Oryctolagus cuniculus: one gene and its partner. Each later gene encodes a partner of the first gene's protein in a complex. Links are inferred from orthologs where the notes say so. Each region holds a gene or a part of one and is shown on either strand. Other genes may lie near its edges.

What was found. Proteins that work in one complex are often made in the same cells at the same time.
Region 2: TUBGCP2 (region 1) and TUBG2 share a complex: the UniProt entries of both Homo sapiens proteins name them as parts of the gamma-tubulin ring complex. The link is inferred for Oryctolagus cuniculus from reciprocal best matches to the Homo sapiens genes TUBGCP2 and TUBG2.

Annotation. Positions count from the first base shown.
Region 1 is NC_091446.1:256,968-264,878, reverse strand, and holds the start of TUBGCP2 (gamma-tubulin complex component 2), read right to left. Parts: upstream 4,783-7,911; 5' UTR 4,644-4,782; intron 2,334-4,643; 5' UTR 2,278-2,333; coding exon 2,128-2,277; intron 1,506-2,127; coding exon 1,377-1,505; intron 946-1,376; coding exon 769-945; intron 1-768. Other genes in the region: ZNF511 (zinc finger protein 511), read left to right, coding at 4,818-4,970, 5,353-5,426, 5,661-5,862, 5,930-6,054, 6,528-6,786. UniProt on the Homo sapiens protein: Component of the gamma-tubulin ring complex (gTuRC) which mediates microtubule nucleation.
Region 2 is NC_091448.1:20,229,765-20,237,624, forward strand, and holds the start of TUBG2 (tubulin gamma-2 chain), read right to left. Parts: upstream 4,145-7,860; 5' UTR 3,949-4,144; coding exon 3,900-3,948; intron 3,639-3,899; coding exon 3,526-3,638; intron 3,324-3,525; coding exon 3,156-3,323; intron 2,850-3,155; coding exon 2,781-2,849; intron 2,408-2,780; coding exon 2,328-2,407; intron 1,971-2,327; coding exon 1,844-1,970; intron 1,228-1,843; coding exon 1,141-1,227; intron 1,025-1,140; coding exon 875-1,024; intron 521-874; coding exon 368-520; intron 291-367; coding exon 129-290; intron 23-128; coding exon 1-22. UniProt on the Homo sapiens protein: Tubulin is the major constituent of microtubules, protein filaments consisting of alpha- and beta-tubulin heterodimers. Gamma-tubulin is a key component of the gamma-tubulin ring complex (gTuRC) which mediates microtubule nucleation.

The DNA of each region.
Region 1 (7,911 bases):
AGCCAGCTCCCGTCCAGAACTCCCAAGGACAGTCACCCTGGAGAGCGAGGCTCCGCATCAAGCCTCTGCTCCCCTAAATGCAGGTTGATTTACTAATTATCAAAGATTTATTTGAAAAGCAGAATTACAGAAAGAGAGGAACAGAGAACAGAGATATTAATCCATCTGCCATCCACTGGTTCACTTTCCAAATCACTAAAACGGCCGGGGGTGGGTCAGGCTGAGGCTGTGAGCCCAGAGCTCCACCCTGGTCTCCCACCTGGGTAGCAGGGCACTCAGGCCGTCCTCTGCTGCTTTCCCGGCACAGCAGCAGGGAGTTGGATCAGAAGTGGAGCAGCTGGGACCCAAACCAGCGCTCAGACAGGATGCCAGTGTTGCAGGCAGTGGCTTAACCTGCTGCACCACAATGCTGGCCCACAGTTTTTTTTTTTTTTTTTTTTTTAAGTTTTCTTTAAAAGGCAGAGTTACACAAACAGAGAGGGAGAGACAGGGAGCAATCTTCCATCCACTCGTTCACTCCCCAAACAGCCACAATGGCCAGAGCTTCTCCTGGGTCTCCCATGTGGGTGCAGGGGCCCAGGGATCTGGGCCGTCCTCTGCTGCTTTCCCAGGCACACTGGTGGGCAGCTGGATCAGAAGTGGAGCAGCTGGGACTAGAATTTGTGCCTGTATGGAATACCAGTGTCTCAGGCTGGCCACACCACAGTGTCAGCCCACAACAGAGAAGCGCCCACCCGGCTGGCGCTGTGGCCACCATGGCTGTGATACCTGCTGCAGCGTGGAGCCCGTGGTCACGCTGCCCAGCTGCTTTCTGAGCTCTTCCAGCTCCTGCATGGACATCTTGGAGGCCGTGGCGGAGACGCTGAAGCCGGCAGCACTGCTGGCGGCAGCGCTGGCCGCGAGCTCGCCTCTGTCCTTCGCATTCTGATGCAGATACTGCAGGGTCTGAAACATGCAGACTGTGTGTCCACAACGGGCCGGCAGAGTCTGTGCACCTCACTGGACAGTCACGCCCGGTCCTTTCTAACTCAGATGCCCACACGGGACACGAGGAGGGCCCTGCAGCCCCACAGGGAGGACACTCTGCAGTCTGCTCTGAGCTGTCCTTGTGGTCAGCACGTCCAGCGGCCCCTGAGCCTGGACTAGAGGACAGAAACCAGCAGGTCACTGGCTGGGCCCCTCTGCCTCATGTTCTCCTCACACCCGGTGCAGACCCACCCAGCCGAGGTGACGCCCGCTCGACGCACCGGCACCTGGCCTCCGGGCGTTACTGGCAGGGGGCAGGTGGGAGCTGGGCAGCAGGCACACGTCACTCGGCTCTGAGACCCTGGAGAGCGCCCTTCCCAGCGTCCCCATGTTGGGCACAGGGCGCCTACCTCTCTGTCTTCTGTAAGCTTTGACAACAGGTACACCAGGGGGTCAAGGTTCCTCGTGTTTTTGGATTTCAGTTCATCGTATTTCTTTAGAAAGTCTTCTGGAGTGCGGGAAAACTCAGCAATTTTAACCTTAAAAGCACACACATAAGTGATTTAATGGCCACAATTAAAGTCAAAAAAAACTAAACCAGGTCAGCTAAGTTACCCTATTTGTCTCTGAAAGAAAACTAACGACTCCACACAGACCCAGGCCTTGCCACGCAGCTGCTCTCGGGTCAGGCCGTGAGGGCTTTGGCCACTCGCGAGCCCCACATCTCCTGCTGTCCACGGCCCAGAGCTCGCGTGGCCGAGGGTGCTCCTGTGTGCCCCTCAGCCCCCCATCCACACGTGATCTGTCACATCCTGCCATTGCTCCGCCATCTAAATAAAACTTCCCCACTCATTTTTAGAAGACTTCAAATTCAAGATCACTTTCCACTGAAGACTTTATTTTGAACGACGTATTACTTGAACAGAGAAACAGTGCTTTAAAGGGATTTCAACGTGGCCAACGCCAGCAGCTTCTCTTCCTGTTCACAGGAAAGGCTGTGGTCTCTCCCCGGTCTCCACTTACTCATCTCTGGGGTGGGCAAAGGGCAGGAGCTGGTGTGAGACGCGGGCCGGCCTGGTGTGCAGGATGTGGTCACGGGCACCAGGGACGGGACCCGCCAGCGTGGTCCCGCAAGGCCCTGCGGAGCGGGCAGGCGCTCACCTTGGCGCTGTGGGCGGAGACGGTGGTGGAGACGTAGGGCGTCCGGTTCTTCTGCAGCAGGTCGATGTAGACCTCAGCCCCGTCGCCCCCGTGCACACGCAGCAGGCTGAGCAGCTCGTTGACGTCGTGGTGAATCCGAAACTCACTCATGGCTGCGGCTCCCCGTCACCAGCATCGCGGTGCGCCTTCCAGAGGGGAAACCAAGCCTGCAGCACACGGTGACGAGGACCTGACGTGCCACGGCTGGGCCCTGAACAGGGCAACTCGGCCCCAGCCCCCAGCTCCTTCCTGACCACCTGCCGCCTCCGTGTGCCGCCAGCTGCATGGCACTCAGCTATGCCACAGACCAGACAACCAGCCCCAGCGGGAAGAATCATTGTGACCCCAAAGGTCTTAATTCTTTTTTTTTTATGATAGGCCAAGTGACACAGAGAAAGAGAGAGAAAAGGAGATCTTTTATCTGCTGGTTCACTCCCCAAATGGCCGCAGCAGCTGGGGGTGGGCCGGGCCCAAGCCAGGAGCCGGGAAGCCCATCCAGGCTCTCCCACGTGGTGCAGGGGCCCAAGCACTGGGGCTTCCTGGGGCTTTCCCAGGTGCATCAGCAGGCAGCTGGCCTGGAGGCAGAGCAGCCAGGACTTGAACCTGCGCCCCCACATGGATGCCGCCGTCACAGATGGTGAGCCAACCCGTGTGCCAGTGCCGGCTCCCTCTGTCCTCCACCAGGGAGCCCTCAGCTGGTGGACAGAACAGACACGGCAGCTCTGCCCCTTTGGGACTCCAGGATTTGGACAGGCCGGGGGAGGGATGCTGTGCACAGGCCAAATGCATGGAGAGTGGAGCCGGGTCACGCGCGGGAGGCCCCCTCCAGGCTCTCCACCCTCTGTGTGCCGCCGCCTCCCAGGACCCACACGCTGCTTCTTCCTGCCCAGGCCCAGCTCAGGATGGGCAGGCCCCGGAGGGCGTCACGTTCTCACTGCTCCCTACACTGTTCGCCTGGGGTCATTTCAGCTCAGCCTGCCCAGGTCATCAGCTGTCCTAGGGTCCCATGTCAGTCAGACGCTCCCAGTGGACAGCAGCAGACTACACAGGCGTCCCCACCGCACTGGTGCCTGCTGCTGCCGGGGCTGCCCAGGCACTCGTGATGGGCCCGAGGGCACTGTGACTTCCCCAGACCCAAAAGCAGACTTGACAGCCCTAGAAAACCACTTGGCGTCCAACCTGGAACCTACAAGTAACGTGCAAATCCTGGAAGTCAGAGGCAAAATGATTCATGTCTGTGTTTTCTGAGTGACGGTCTCCCACCAAGTTCTCAAAGGCTCTGTGATTCCAAAATGGTTAAGAACCACTCCACAGGGCCAGCGCTGAGGCGTAGCGGGTAAAGCTGTCGCCTGCAGTGCCGGAATCCCACACGGGCGCAGGTTCCAGTCCCAGCTGCTCCACTTCCAATCCAGCTTTCTGCTGTGGCCTGGGAAAGCAGCAGACGGTGGCCCAAGTCCTTGGGCCATGTGGGAGACCTGGAGGGAGCTCCAGCCACTGCGGCCATTTGGGGAGTGAACCAGCAGACGAAGACCTCCTCTCCCTAACATAAAACAAACAAAACCCCCACCGTGCCAGCAAGCTACCGGCCCCACAGCTTCAGCGAGGCCAAGCTCTAAGTCAGACGCCCCAGCAAGCACACCAAAGGCGCCAGGCACTCGGCTTCCCGACCACGGCTGAGCGTCGGGGTGGACTCGGTCTCCTGGTCACCGCACGGGCATCCCACACTGGCCGCACGCTTCCGAGTCGGGAGGTGCTCACAGCAGCCCACGGGGCAGCACGAGGCCAGCAGGGAGCGGACGCCGGCACCCCGGGGAGTCGCCGATGCTGCCGGGCAGGCGCGGGAGGCCCAGGCCGGTTCCCACACCGCCGCCCCGCGCCCAACACCACCAGAGCCTCCTCGGACCCCCGGCCGCCAGGCCTCCTGAAGCCGGGGGCTGAGGTTCACGGTGGCCAGGTGGACACCAGGTCAAGCGCGCTGAGGGTGGGCCAGAGTCACGCATCGGACGCCACCCGCGGCCAAGAGGCTCGAGGGGTGCAACGTCCAGGCACTGACGCCAACCCGGCTGTCGGCCGGGCCGCTCTCCGGGTCTTGGACACTCCCGCGTCCTCGGCTCTGCGTCCGCGGGCACCCGGAGGCCGTCGCCTCCCGGCGTCCAGCCCGAGCTCGCGCGGGGTCACGCGGGGCCTCGGCCGCTCCGACCAGGTGGGCGCGCGCCCCCGACCAGGCTCCAGGGGTGCCGTCTGCCCGTCCCAGCACGGAAGGACCCTCCCCTCGGGCCGCACGGCGCGTCCTGGGCGCTGCCACCGCTTCCAGGGTCCCGACCGCGACGCGGGCGCTACAGGCCCCTCCGGCGGGAGCCAGCTCCGGGCCACAGGAACCGCGGCCCGGCGGGCGGAAGAGGACGGCTCGGGCCAGCGGCCCGCCCGAACCCCTGCCGGCCTTCGGAGCCCACTCAGCCCCACCACCCCGGACTCACCAGACCCCGAGGCGACCACCCAGTCCCGCGCCGCCTGCCGCCGCCGGAAGCGCACCGACGTCACATCCGGGCGGCAAGTAGGGCCCGCCCCCGGAAGCGCGCTGACGTCACGGCGCACCCTACGTTCGAGGTGGGCAGTGGCCGGCAGGCTGGGAGCCGCAGGCCCCTGAGGGGATGCTGCTGCCGCCTGCGCTGCGCGCCCGTCTGGCTGGCGGGCCTGGGGCGGCCGAGCCGCTGCCCGTGGAGCGGGACCCCGCGGCGGGCGCCTCTCCGTTCTGCTTTGCGGCGCGCCAGGAGCGCTTCCCGCGGGAGCACGAGTTCTTCGAGGTGAAGAGAGCAGAACGGTGGTCGGGGGGCGGGGCCTCGAGGGTGGGCAGGGCGGGGGCGGGGCCCTGAGGGGAGGGCCCGGAGAGATGGGCGGGGCGGGGCCTTGAGGGCGGGCACGCGTTGGGGGCGGGGCCTTGGAGTGGGTCTGGTTGGCGGGCAGGGCCCTGAGGGGCTGACTAGAGAGGAAGCGGGGACCTTGAGGGCGGGCCCGGAGAGATGGGCGTGGGGGGGCCTCCTGTGAGCGGGGCCTTGAGGGTGGGCCCGAGCGGTGGGCAGGGCCTTGAGGGGCGGGAGGTGGGCTGGGCCTGTGATGGGCTGGCCTGGGGTGTGGCAGACTGCGCCCGAGCTCCGGGGGCCCGCCCACAGCACGGCTCTCTCGCAGGAAGGGGATGTGCAGCGGCACCTGTACCTCCAGGATGTGCTCACGCAGGTGGCCGAGGTGCCGGACAGGCCCAGGTGAGCAGCTCGGGCCAGGCCCCCACCCGTCCTGTGCCCGGAGCAGCCTGAGCCGAGCGAGCGCCCCCCATCCCGCCCGCGAGCTCCAGAGGGTGGGCTCCAGGCTGCCTGCTGTGCGCATCTTCATCCGCCCCCCCCCCCCCCCCCCCGTCTGGTGCGCAGGCAGCTTTCGGGGCGTCTCGGGCGGGGGCGTGGCGACGGTCAGGGGTCCAGCTCGGCCTCTGTCCTCGCCAGGGTGCCGGAGTTCACCTGCCAGGTGGCCGGCTGCTGCCAGGTGTTCGACACGCTGGAGTGCTACGAGCACCACTACCACACGCTGCACAGGAACGTGTGCGCCTTCTGCCAGCGGGCCTTCCCCTCCGGACACCTGCTGGACGCCCACGTGCTGGAGTGGCACGACTCGCTCTTCCAGGTCCTGTCCGAGAGGCAGGACATGGTGGGTGCCGGGCCGGTGGGCGGCGGGGCGTGGCGGCGGGGCGGGCGGTGACGCGGCTGCCTTTCAGTACCAGTGCCTGGTGGAGGGCTGCCCGGAGAGGTTCAAGACCAGCGAGGCCCGGAAGGACCACCTGGTGAGGGTTCACCTGTACCCTGCAGACTTCCGCTTTGATAAAGCAAAGAAAAGCAGAGGGTAGGTGAGGGGCCTGGCCGGCGGCTGGCCGGCGGTGCCCTGGGTTCAGAGGTCACCTCTGTGCTCTGCGGCTGAGCGCCTGTGGGTGGCCCCAGCAGTGGGCAGGGGTCACTGACGGGGGGAAGGGGGAGGGCAGATCCCTGGCTCCTGGCTCTGTGCTGGGGCAGCAGAGGGGAGTTGGGAGCGAGCGGGCGGCTGCCTTCCCTGCACTCATGACTCCTGGCCTTCTGACCTCCTGACCTCTGAGCAGCCTTGGGAGCTGCCCCAGACCCCGCCCCCCTGGGGCATCAGTTTTCTGTCCTGCGGTGCAACTGCTCAGGGCCCTGGGGGAGATGCCCCCCGGGATTCTGGAATTGCGTGCTATTTCTTTGCCTTTTTTAAGAAAAAAAATTTTGGTTTATTTGAAAGAGTATGGGGGGAGAGAGGGAGGGAGGGGGAGAGAGAGATCTTCTGTCTTCTGGTTCACTCCCCAGATGGCTGCAGTGGCCAGGGCTGGACCAGGCCAATGCCAGGAGCCAGGAAGTTCATCCGGGTCTCTCACGAAGGTGCAAGGGCCTTAGCACCTGGTCCACCCTCCTCTGCTTTCCCAGGCCATCAGCAGGGAGCTGGATCAGAAGTGGAGCAGCTGGGACTCGAACCAGCACTCATGTGGGATGCAGTGCTGTACCCGCTGTGCCACAGCGCCAGCCCCGGAGGGCTCATGTTAAGGGGAAGCCTGTAGTGCTAGATTGAGAGGTTGGTATCAGGGAGGGTGTTCCCTAGTCTTGGGCGAGTCCAGTAAATCTCTCGTGAGAGGCCTTTGGGGGGCTGGGGTTGTGGTTCAGCCGGTGAAGCTGCCCCTGCAGCAGCAGCAGCCCTTACCAGAGCGCCGGGTCCACCAGCGGCTCTGCTCCCACGCCTGCTCATGCTCCTGTGGGGGGCAGTGAGGCCCAGGTGCCTGGGCCCTGCACCCACATGGGAGACCTGGTGGAGCGCCTGGCTCCCGGCTTCAGCCTGGCCCAGCCCTGGCTGTGTGGGCCTCTGGGGAGTGAGCCAGCGGAGGGAGATCTCGCCCACGTGGGTGCAGGGAGCTTGGTCGGAAGTGGAGCAGGGACACAAACTGGTGCCCACGTGGGAGGCCCACGTCCAGGCAGCTTTGTGTGCTACGCCACAGTGCTGGCCCCAGAGATAAATCCAGAAGAGCGAACCCTGGTGGGCATCTACCACGTGGCACTGAAGGAGCTGGGGTCACAGCAGGTGTGAGGTGGTTCACTGAGGGTCAGGGTTCAGCACCAAAGTGGTGCCGGTGCCGATCTGCTCCTGGCACACCACAGACTGTGCCGAAACAGTAAGAGGCTGTGGTCTCCTGGAAAGTTCTCAGGGAAATAGGACCGAAGCCGCTGGTCACTCTCTGTCTTCCACAGCCCAGCCATGCCAGGGGCCAGAGTGAGCACGTCTGCAGGAGCCCCGCGGGATGACGGGGAGCAGTCAGAAGGGGACGCCATGGAGGTCGGCGCTGAGCCTGGGGCAGCCCCGGCAGCACCCTCGGCGGAGCGGAGGGCCTCGGGTCGCAGGTCAGCCTCTGTCTTCCAGAGCCTGTCCTGGGTGTGTGCAGACCGGGCAGTGCTGGCCGCGGCCTGGGCCGAGTTCTTGCCGAGTCAGCCTGGGTTTTTCTTCAACTCTGGTTCTGGGCGGCAGGAACGCATTGGGCCCGCAGCCCTGGGGTCCTCGCAGGTTGACTGTGCTTGTGTTGGGTTAGCGCTACTTCGGACCTAATCTGGGGGAAATGCCCCAAAATGGGGAAAAACCTCCAAAGAATCCAGCCCTGGGCACCAGCAGGTGGTCAGGGTTTCTGTCAGGCGAGGTGATCTCCAGAGC
Region 2 (7,860 bases), on another chromosome or scaffold:
GCTGGCAGGAACTTTCGAAGAGCTGGAAGAAACGGAAAACTCCAGGAGAGGGGCCAGCGTAGGACGGGGAGGGGTTGAGAAGTGACTGGGGGAAGGCAGAGGGTGGAACAGAGGATGGCCAGACTCACGGAGGAGATGCTGGTGTGGTTGGCCATCATGAGCCCGCTGACCCGGTGGGCTGAGGGCAGGTAGGGAGACTTCCTCGACAGGGCCACCTGGATGCTGGCTGGGCCCCAGGGGATGAAGTTGGCCAACTTCCGTTCCCGGATCCTCTGCAGGCTCTTGTGGACCTGGGTGGGCACAGTGGGAGGTGGCAGCCTCTCTGTGCCCCTGCGGCTTCAGGCTAGGAGGAAGGGGCCTCCCCTACCTGGGTGGGGTCCACCTCCCCCTGGATGATGTTGAGGATGGCGATGTAGCAGTGGTTGGTCTGGCGGTCCCGGCCTGTGGACACCATCACGTTCTTGGGCTGCAGCAGCCGCCGCATGACGTCCAGGACCGTGGTCTTCCTCACGCTGGCCACCTGAGGGGTGGGATAGCGGTCACAGGGGCCAGACCAGCACTCGGGGCACCGGGCAGGGATGCAGAGGAGCCAGCACACCCCGGCAGACTTGGAGCAGTGCGGCCTCTCAGGCAGGACCAGCGTCAGCTCACAGACATGTCCTCGTGCAGGAGCCAACAGCGCTCCCCACGCCACGGGGCCTGCAGGAGCCCAGGGCAGAGGGAAGGTGGAGACGAGGCAGCGAGACAGTCCCACGCTCTGCCAGTGCCTGAGTGCAAGGCCTCTGGGGGCTGCAATGGGCAGCTGCCAGGGCAGCGAGGAGAGGAGAGGCCAGGTCAGGGCCAGCTGGCCCGGGACACTGAGGGCTGCTCTTACTGACTGGTCCGTGGTGAGGGGGGTGTAGCCGGTCATGAGGAAGTGGAGCCGGGGCGTGGGGATGAGCGAGGCGATGAGGCCGATGAGGTCGTTGTTCATGTAGCCGGGGTAGCGCAGGGTGGTGGTGCTGGCTGACATGATGGTGGACACCTGGGGACAGGGGTGCTGTGTCATGGGCCTGGCCTGGGTAGGACCCCTCCCCCCTCCCCCGACAGTCCTCCCTCAGGGAGGACTTCCAGTGGGAAGGAGTGCAGAGGTGGGCTCACCAGCTGGTTGATCTGGGAGAAGGATGGGTTCTGGATGTGCAGGCGGTCCGTGGCTATCCGGTTCAGGGCTGTGTTGTCCAGCACCACCTGGAGGGGACAGACAGGGTGGCATAGACATGAAATATTGGCTGAGCACCTGCTAAGCTGTAAAGGCAGTCAGTAGCTTTGCTAGTTTACAAGGAAAGCATTCTTTGGGGGTATTATGAGTCCCTCTGGACAGTGCAGGGCAGTAAACAAATCTGTGAGTGTCCTCTGTGCCACACTTTGTGCCTGGGTCTGGAGTGACCACAGAGTGAAAACGGGCACGGTCTTGCCCTCGCCAGGCCTCCAGCCTAGTTGAGGGAGGCTGACATTGAATACAGAACAGAAAAAAGACGCTGTTAACCTGAAATATGACAAAGGAAGCTGACCTTGACTGGGTAGGCAGCGAAGTTTCACTAAGACAGTGACCCCTGAGCTGGAGCTGAAACGTGAGCAGGCACTGAGTGGGCTGAGTGGCTTATGTGGTGGCAGGGGGAGGCAGTCCCTGTGCTGGGGGACTGGCTGCCTAAAGTCACATAAGCACCCTGGAGGTTGCGACCTTACTTCGCAGTCCGACCACGGGTCTGGCTTTGGTGGTTCTTTTTGTGCTGGGCAGGGCAGGGCAGGCTGGCTGTGACTCAGGGGGGTCCCACAGCCCTCGACTCCCTCTTCTTTTGCTCACCACGCAGTCTGCGTTCTGAGTCAGCCGCTTGAGCGTGAGGAGCGAGTTGTAGGGCTGGACCACCACGTCGCTCATCTCGTCCTGGTTGGGAAACACTGAGTAGGTCTGCACCAGCTTCTTGGGGTACCTGAGGGTGAAGAAGAAGGAAAGGGGGAGGGTGGCACAGAGAAGCAACAGGACTTACCGGACTGCTCACTCTGTCTTCTGTGGGGACAATGGGCACCACGATTTTCGTGTGCCACCAAGCTCTTGTACAGTAGCAGGGTAAGGGCGGGACTCAGTCTTCAGAATGAACAGGATAAGCTGCAAGCATCAAACTCTAGATCTCCCCTGTCCCCAGGTGCCCCCCCCCCCAGGTGTTGGTTGCTGCCAAGGTTACCTGGGTGGGTCTGTCTCTAGGACTCAAAAGCAGTAGGGGCAGGCCTTCCCGCTCAGAAGGAAAAGGGGACCCGGGCTAATGCCCTCCTAACAAACACCGGCCTACCTGTCATTCAGCCGTTCCAGGAGGTAGGAGCCCATGCCAGAGCCGGTCCCCCCGGCAATGGAGTGACACAGCACGAAGCCCTGTGTGGGAGTGAAGGACAGGCAGTGACCAGGGACCTGGGCAGGGGGAGGGGGAGGCTGCCAGCTTGTCTCATTCCCCACCCACTCGCAACACACTCGTGCCTCAAGGCTTCCTCTGTGTCCGTCCAGGCCGAGGCTCCTTGGGAAGACTCAGGGCTTGGGGACAGGCTGAGGGATTCACACCCTCCAGGCTACGGCTTCCCTGAGAACAAGGACTGCACCTTATCTACCTCAAGATCCCAAACCAGATGCTCAACAAATGGGCCTGGAATTGGACTGCCACCATCCCAGGGCCTGCTCGGGCCACCGCCTGACCCCCAACACGCCGCAGCCCCTCTCCGCTGCACCCCACGGGAGCTGGGGAGAAGCTCACCTCAAGACTGTCGCTTCCGTCCGCTTCCCGGTCTATGATGTCGAAGATGTCCTCGTGGATCTTCTCACCCTGGACAGAGACATGGCAGAGAGTCAGGTCCAAGGTTCTCTGTTCAGCAACAAGAATTCCACAAGGGAGGGCGGCGGGGGAGGGCTTTGTGACCCCCCTGAAGCAGAGCTTCAGCTCTTGCCCTCAACGCAGAAATGATACTTTGTGACTTGTACAAAATTTGCATAAAGCTCTCCCTGGCTGTCCCTTTGTCAAAGCATCCCTTTATCTCTTACGTATCAGAAATCTGTTCTGGTCAAATTCCCAGGTTGCCTGAGCCTGCCTTGCCCCAGGGTGGGACTATCCAAGGGTCCCCGGCTTGGACACCTGGGAGAATCCCCTGGCCCAGTTGTTGCCAGCTCCTCCTCCGTGCTCAGCCAGGTAGATGTTCTCCGGGTTGTAGAGCTTGGCGTAGGGAGAGTTGAGGATGGAGTGGATCACCCGGGGCTCCAGGTCCAGCAGCACGGCCCGCGGGATGTAGTGCTCATCATCGGCCTGCCAGCGAGAGGCCGGGAAGGGGCGGCCCCGTCAGCCGGCGCCACCGCCGGCCCAGGCCCCAGTCCAGTCCCACTCGGGCTCCTGCCGGGCCTCCCTCCCCGAGCCAGCCGCGGGGCCCTGTGCCCAGCGGGCTCCCCAGCACCAGCCCCTGCCCCGTCCCTTCAGGCCCCCGGGGTCCTGGCCCAGCCGCCGGGGGCACCTGGTAGAAAAAGACGTCCTTGCGGTCCGTGCCCTCGGTGGCGAACTCCTCCACGATGCCCTCGGGGCTGATACCATGCTCGGCGCACAGCTGTTTCCAGAACTCGAAACCAACTGGGGAGAGGGGAGACGCCCGGGTCTGCGAGAGCCGAAAGGCCTGGGCAGCTCAGCGTCAGGCTCTGAGGCTGCCACTCTCGGAGCGTGCGCCCAGGACGCCGGCTCTGGGAGCCGTCACAGCCCAGGGCCTGCGTGGTCATGCGCAGTAGGGCAGGGGGTTCACGAGAGGGAGAGGGGACCCGGTGGGAACCAAGCACTCCCGTGGACCCCGAAGGGGCAGAACGAGAGAGTGGCGGGGCCCGGAGCTCGCTTGCTCACTCTGGTTGCCGCACTGGCCCAGCTGCAGGGTGATGATCTCCCGGGGCATCGCTCTGCGGACACGGGCCCGGCGGGAGTCACGGCCGAGACGAACGCCCGGCAGCCGGGCGCGCAGGACGTGGGCAGCGCGCGCTCCCCTCGCCTCTCGACGCGAGCGCTCGGTCTGCGCGTGTGCAGTGCGGGCGTCTGCTCCGCCGGCGGGCCGCGGAGCCCAACCTGGGCATCATTTTCCCCCATGGCAGGCGCAGCTGGAATTCGGCACAGGCGCAGAGCGAGGCCACGCCCCCGCCTGCCCACCTCTCCGCGCCTGCGCCCTGAGACTGGCGGGGGCTCGCAGGGTCGCGACCTTAGGCTGCGGGCAGGTGGGGAGAGGACGGCTGGGTGCACTAGGTAGTCCGGGTGTAGGTCCTGATGCCCTAAGGACTGTCAGCTCCGCTGGGGCCTGGGCTGGATCCAAGGCAACTTTCTTCCTTTAAATTTCTATTTTTCTAAAATTGTTTGACATACTCGTGCACAGCATAAAATCCATCATTTCAACAGTTAACAGACATTAAGTATACTCGCATTGTTCTGTACCCATCAGCACCCTCCATTTTCAGAGCATTTTCTCTTTCCCAAACTGAAACCTTACCCATTAAACAGCAACTTCCCGTCTTCGGCGCAGACCCTGGAAGTCACCATTCTTTCTCTATTAAAGCTGAATAATATTCCGTGGCATAGATACACCACATTTGTTTATCCACTCAAACCTCGGCGGACACTTGTTCCACCTTTTGGCCATTTTGAATAGTGCCCCTTTGGACGCGGGTGTACAGATATCTATTTAACTCCTTGCTTGCATACCCGGAAGTAGGATTGCTGATAACTGTGTCTAATTGAGGAATCGCCATACTCTTTTCCACAGCAGCTGCACAAGATTACGTTCCCACTGGCAGTGCTGAGGGGTTCCAGTGTTATCTCCAGCAACACTTGTTCCTCGCTAGCTTTTGATCATAGCCTGGGTGTGAAGTGGTATCTCTGAGGCTCTGTTTTACTCTAAATTACCGGAAAGGTGACATAGACAACATAATTTTATATTTTTACCATCTATTTTTGTGTTTTGAAATTTATATAAATGATACCAAAGTATAATATCAGAGAAAAGCAGCTTGCTTTTTTCACCTTACATTAGGGCTTTTTGTGATGTAGCCGTGTTAATATGGGTAGATTTAGTTCATCCCTTTTAACTGCTGTATTGTATTTCAGTGGACAAACAAAAGCAGTTTATTCTACTTCCAAACGAGTGGGGTTAGATTGTTCTCAATTAGTGGAAGGCCAGATGGGAAAGGGTGATTAACCGATACTAAGTTATAGTTAGACAGGAGAAAGGCATTCTGGTGTTGAATTGGCCTGTGGGGTGACTATGGATGACAGTAAAGTATTGTTTGCTTTCTTAAAAAGCTAGAACCCTCAAGAGCTGATAAATGTTTGCAGAGACAGATATGTTTTCTGTGGTTTGAACATCACACCATGTACGCGTTTGGAGATGTCACATAGTACTCCATACAATGCACAGTTTTGATGTTTTTTAAAGATTGTTCTCAATAACCCCCCACCACAGGGGCACAGGAGCTGCCTGCCTACGAACAGGAAGCGCCAAGTCTCTGTGGAGGCTTGCACAGCTTGGGGCTTATTCCTGACCGGCTGCACTCTTCCCAGCCCGAGTTGTTTCCCACAGGCGCACCTGCTCTTGGGCTGCCAGGTACTGGTTTTGTCAGTTCCACAGAGGCTGAAGGGGATCTGGAGGGTGGAATGCCCAGTCGCGATGCCGGGCGAGGGCCACTCGCTTTCCTTTTGGGGATGCCTCCTCTGGGACCTGCCCGTGGGTAGCCCTTGCCCGTTTATCTTAGACATTTGCAGTCAGTTCCGCACATCCACCCTTGGACAGCTTGCAGATATCACCTGGGCCTCGTCTTCACATCGAGAAGTGTGTCTTGCCACAGGGACGCTGTCAGTTTTACTGCGGACTTTCCCTTTGTTTCGAGAACTTAAGGAAGCCCCCACCCCACCCCACCCCGGCCCCTACTCGCAGTATCTTCCCTGCTTGCACAACAGTTTTCGCGTGTTCCCGGTAGGTCTCCGGGGCATCTGGAATTTATTTGAGATAGGGAGCTACTTTATTTCTTCCATATGCATGCTCGGAGCCGTCTCGGAACAATTACGGAGCAGCCGGCGCAGCGCCGCCCGCCCCCCCCCCGGAACGTTCCAGGCCGCGCTCCGAGGGGGGCCGGCCCTGGGAGCCCGGGAGGAGCAGGCCAGAGCGCCGCCGAGACTCCCGCTCGGACGCCGGCTCCGGCTTTTGTTTTCTTTTTTTCTCGCTCTTTTTTTTTTTTTTTTAAAGAGAACTCGGCCGCCTTCCAGGCCCCGCCGCCCAGATGCTCCGGGCGGCTCTGGAAGGCTCTGGAGCTCGCCCCGCGCCCGCCCCCGCCGGCCTCGGGCCGTTTCCGTCCCCCCAGCCGTCGTCCGGCTCCGGCGTCCGCACGGGGACCCGGCCTTCTCGCCGGGCCGGGGCGGGTCCGGCCGCTCCCTCTGAGGGTCGAGGGCGGGGCGGGCGCTGCCGCCAGGACGTGCTCCGCGCCGGGGCTGCCCGCGAGCGAGCGGCGTCCGCTTGCCTCGGCCGGGCGGGGGCGGGGGCGCCGGGCTCCTGCGAGCCGCGAGCCGCGAGCCGCGGCCGGTGTGTGTGTGTGTGACCCTAGCGGGTGACGCTTCGCCGCGGCTCGCGACTCCCAACCGTGCCTTGCCCCTGCATCTTCTCTCCCAGAAGTGGGAGCACTCTTCAAATCCGTTTCCAGGCCTGCGGGTTGGAAGGCGTGCGCTTGTCGGCCTTGGAGAAGCTGCGGTGTGTCCATTCTCCTCTCAGAAGCCCTGTCTGATGAGCTGGGGACGGGACACCAACGCTTCGAACCTGAGGCGTCGGGGCCTTCGGCGGGGCTGGCCTTAAGTCTTCCCCCTTAGCACGCTTTCCATTTCTGCTGGGGACCGAGCGATCCCTGCGGCTTATAGGAGAGGGGTCACCAGCACTCTGCACGGAGCCCGACGGCCACTCACGATTCAGCACGTGTTAGCCGCCCTTATCTTTCCGAGATGCAGGCGAACAGAAGCACAGGTGGGCAGCTGCTGTGCATGGCAGAGTTTAGGTAGGGTAGAAGCGGTAGGTGGATTTTTTTTTTTTTTTTTTTTTTTTTTTTTTTTTTTTTTTTGACAGGCAGAGTAGACAGAGACAGAGAGAAAGGTGTTCCTGGCCGGCGCCGCGGCTCACTAGGCTAATCCTCCGCCTAGCGGCGCCGGCACACCGGGTTCTAGTCCCGGTCGGGGCGCCGGATTCTGTCCCGGTTGCCCCTCTTCCAGGCCAGCCCTCTGCTGTGGCCAGGGAGTGCAGTGGAGGATGGCCCAAGTGCTTGGGCCCTGCACCCCATGGGAGACCAGGAAAAGCACCTGGCTCCTGGCTCCTGCCATCGGATCAGCGCGGTGCGCCGGCCGCAGCGTGCCGGCTGCGGCGGCCATTGGAGGGTGAACCAACGGCAAAGGAAGACCTTTCTCTCTGTCTCTCTCTCACTGTCCACTCTGCCTGTGAAAAAAAAAAAAAAAAAAAAAAAAAAAAGAAAGGAAGTGGATTCTTTACATACATTTTATAAAAAGCCAAGTATCATGGCCCTGTAGATCAGTGTCAGATCTGAGCTCTGTTGAAGCTGAGCACGAGGCCCAGGTTCACGATTCTTCCCACGGACCTAAGATCCAGGGTCTCAAGGCCGCTTGCTCGGGGTGGACCGTGCAGTCCTGGCCAGTCTGCGTGCCTCCACGTGCTGCGATCCAGGTTGTGATAAGGTGCTGGTGGTGATGTTCCGGGGAGGCCTGGTCCGCCTCTGCTGAAAATGCAGCTAACAACTAGCTCGTTACTGACACCGCCTCCATGGATCGTCCT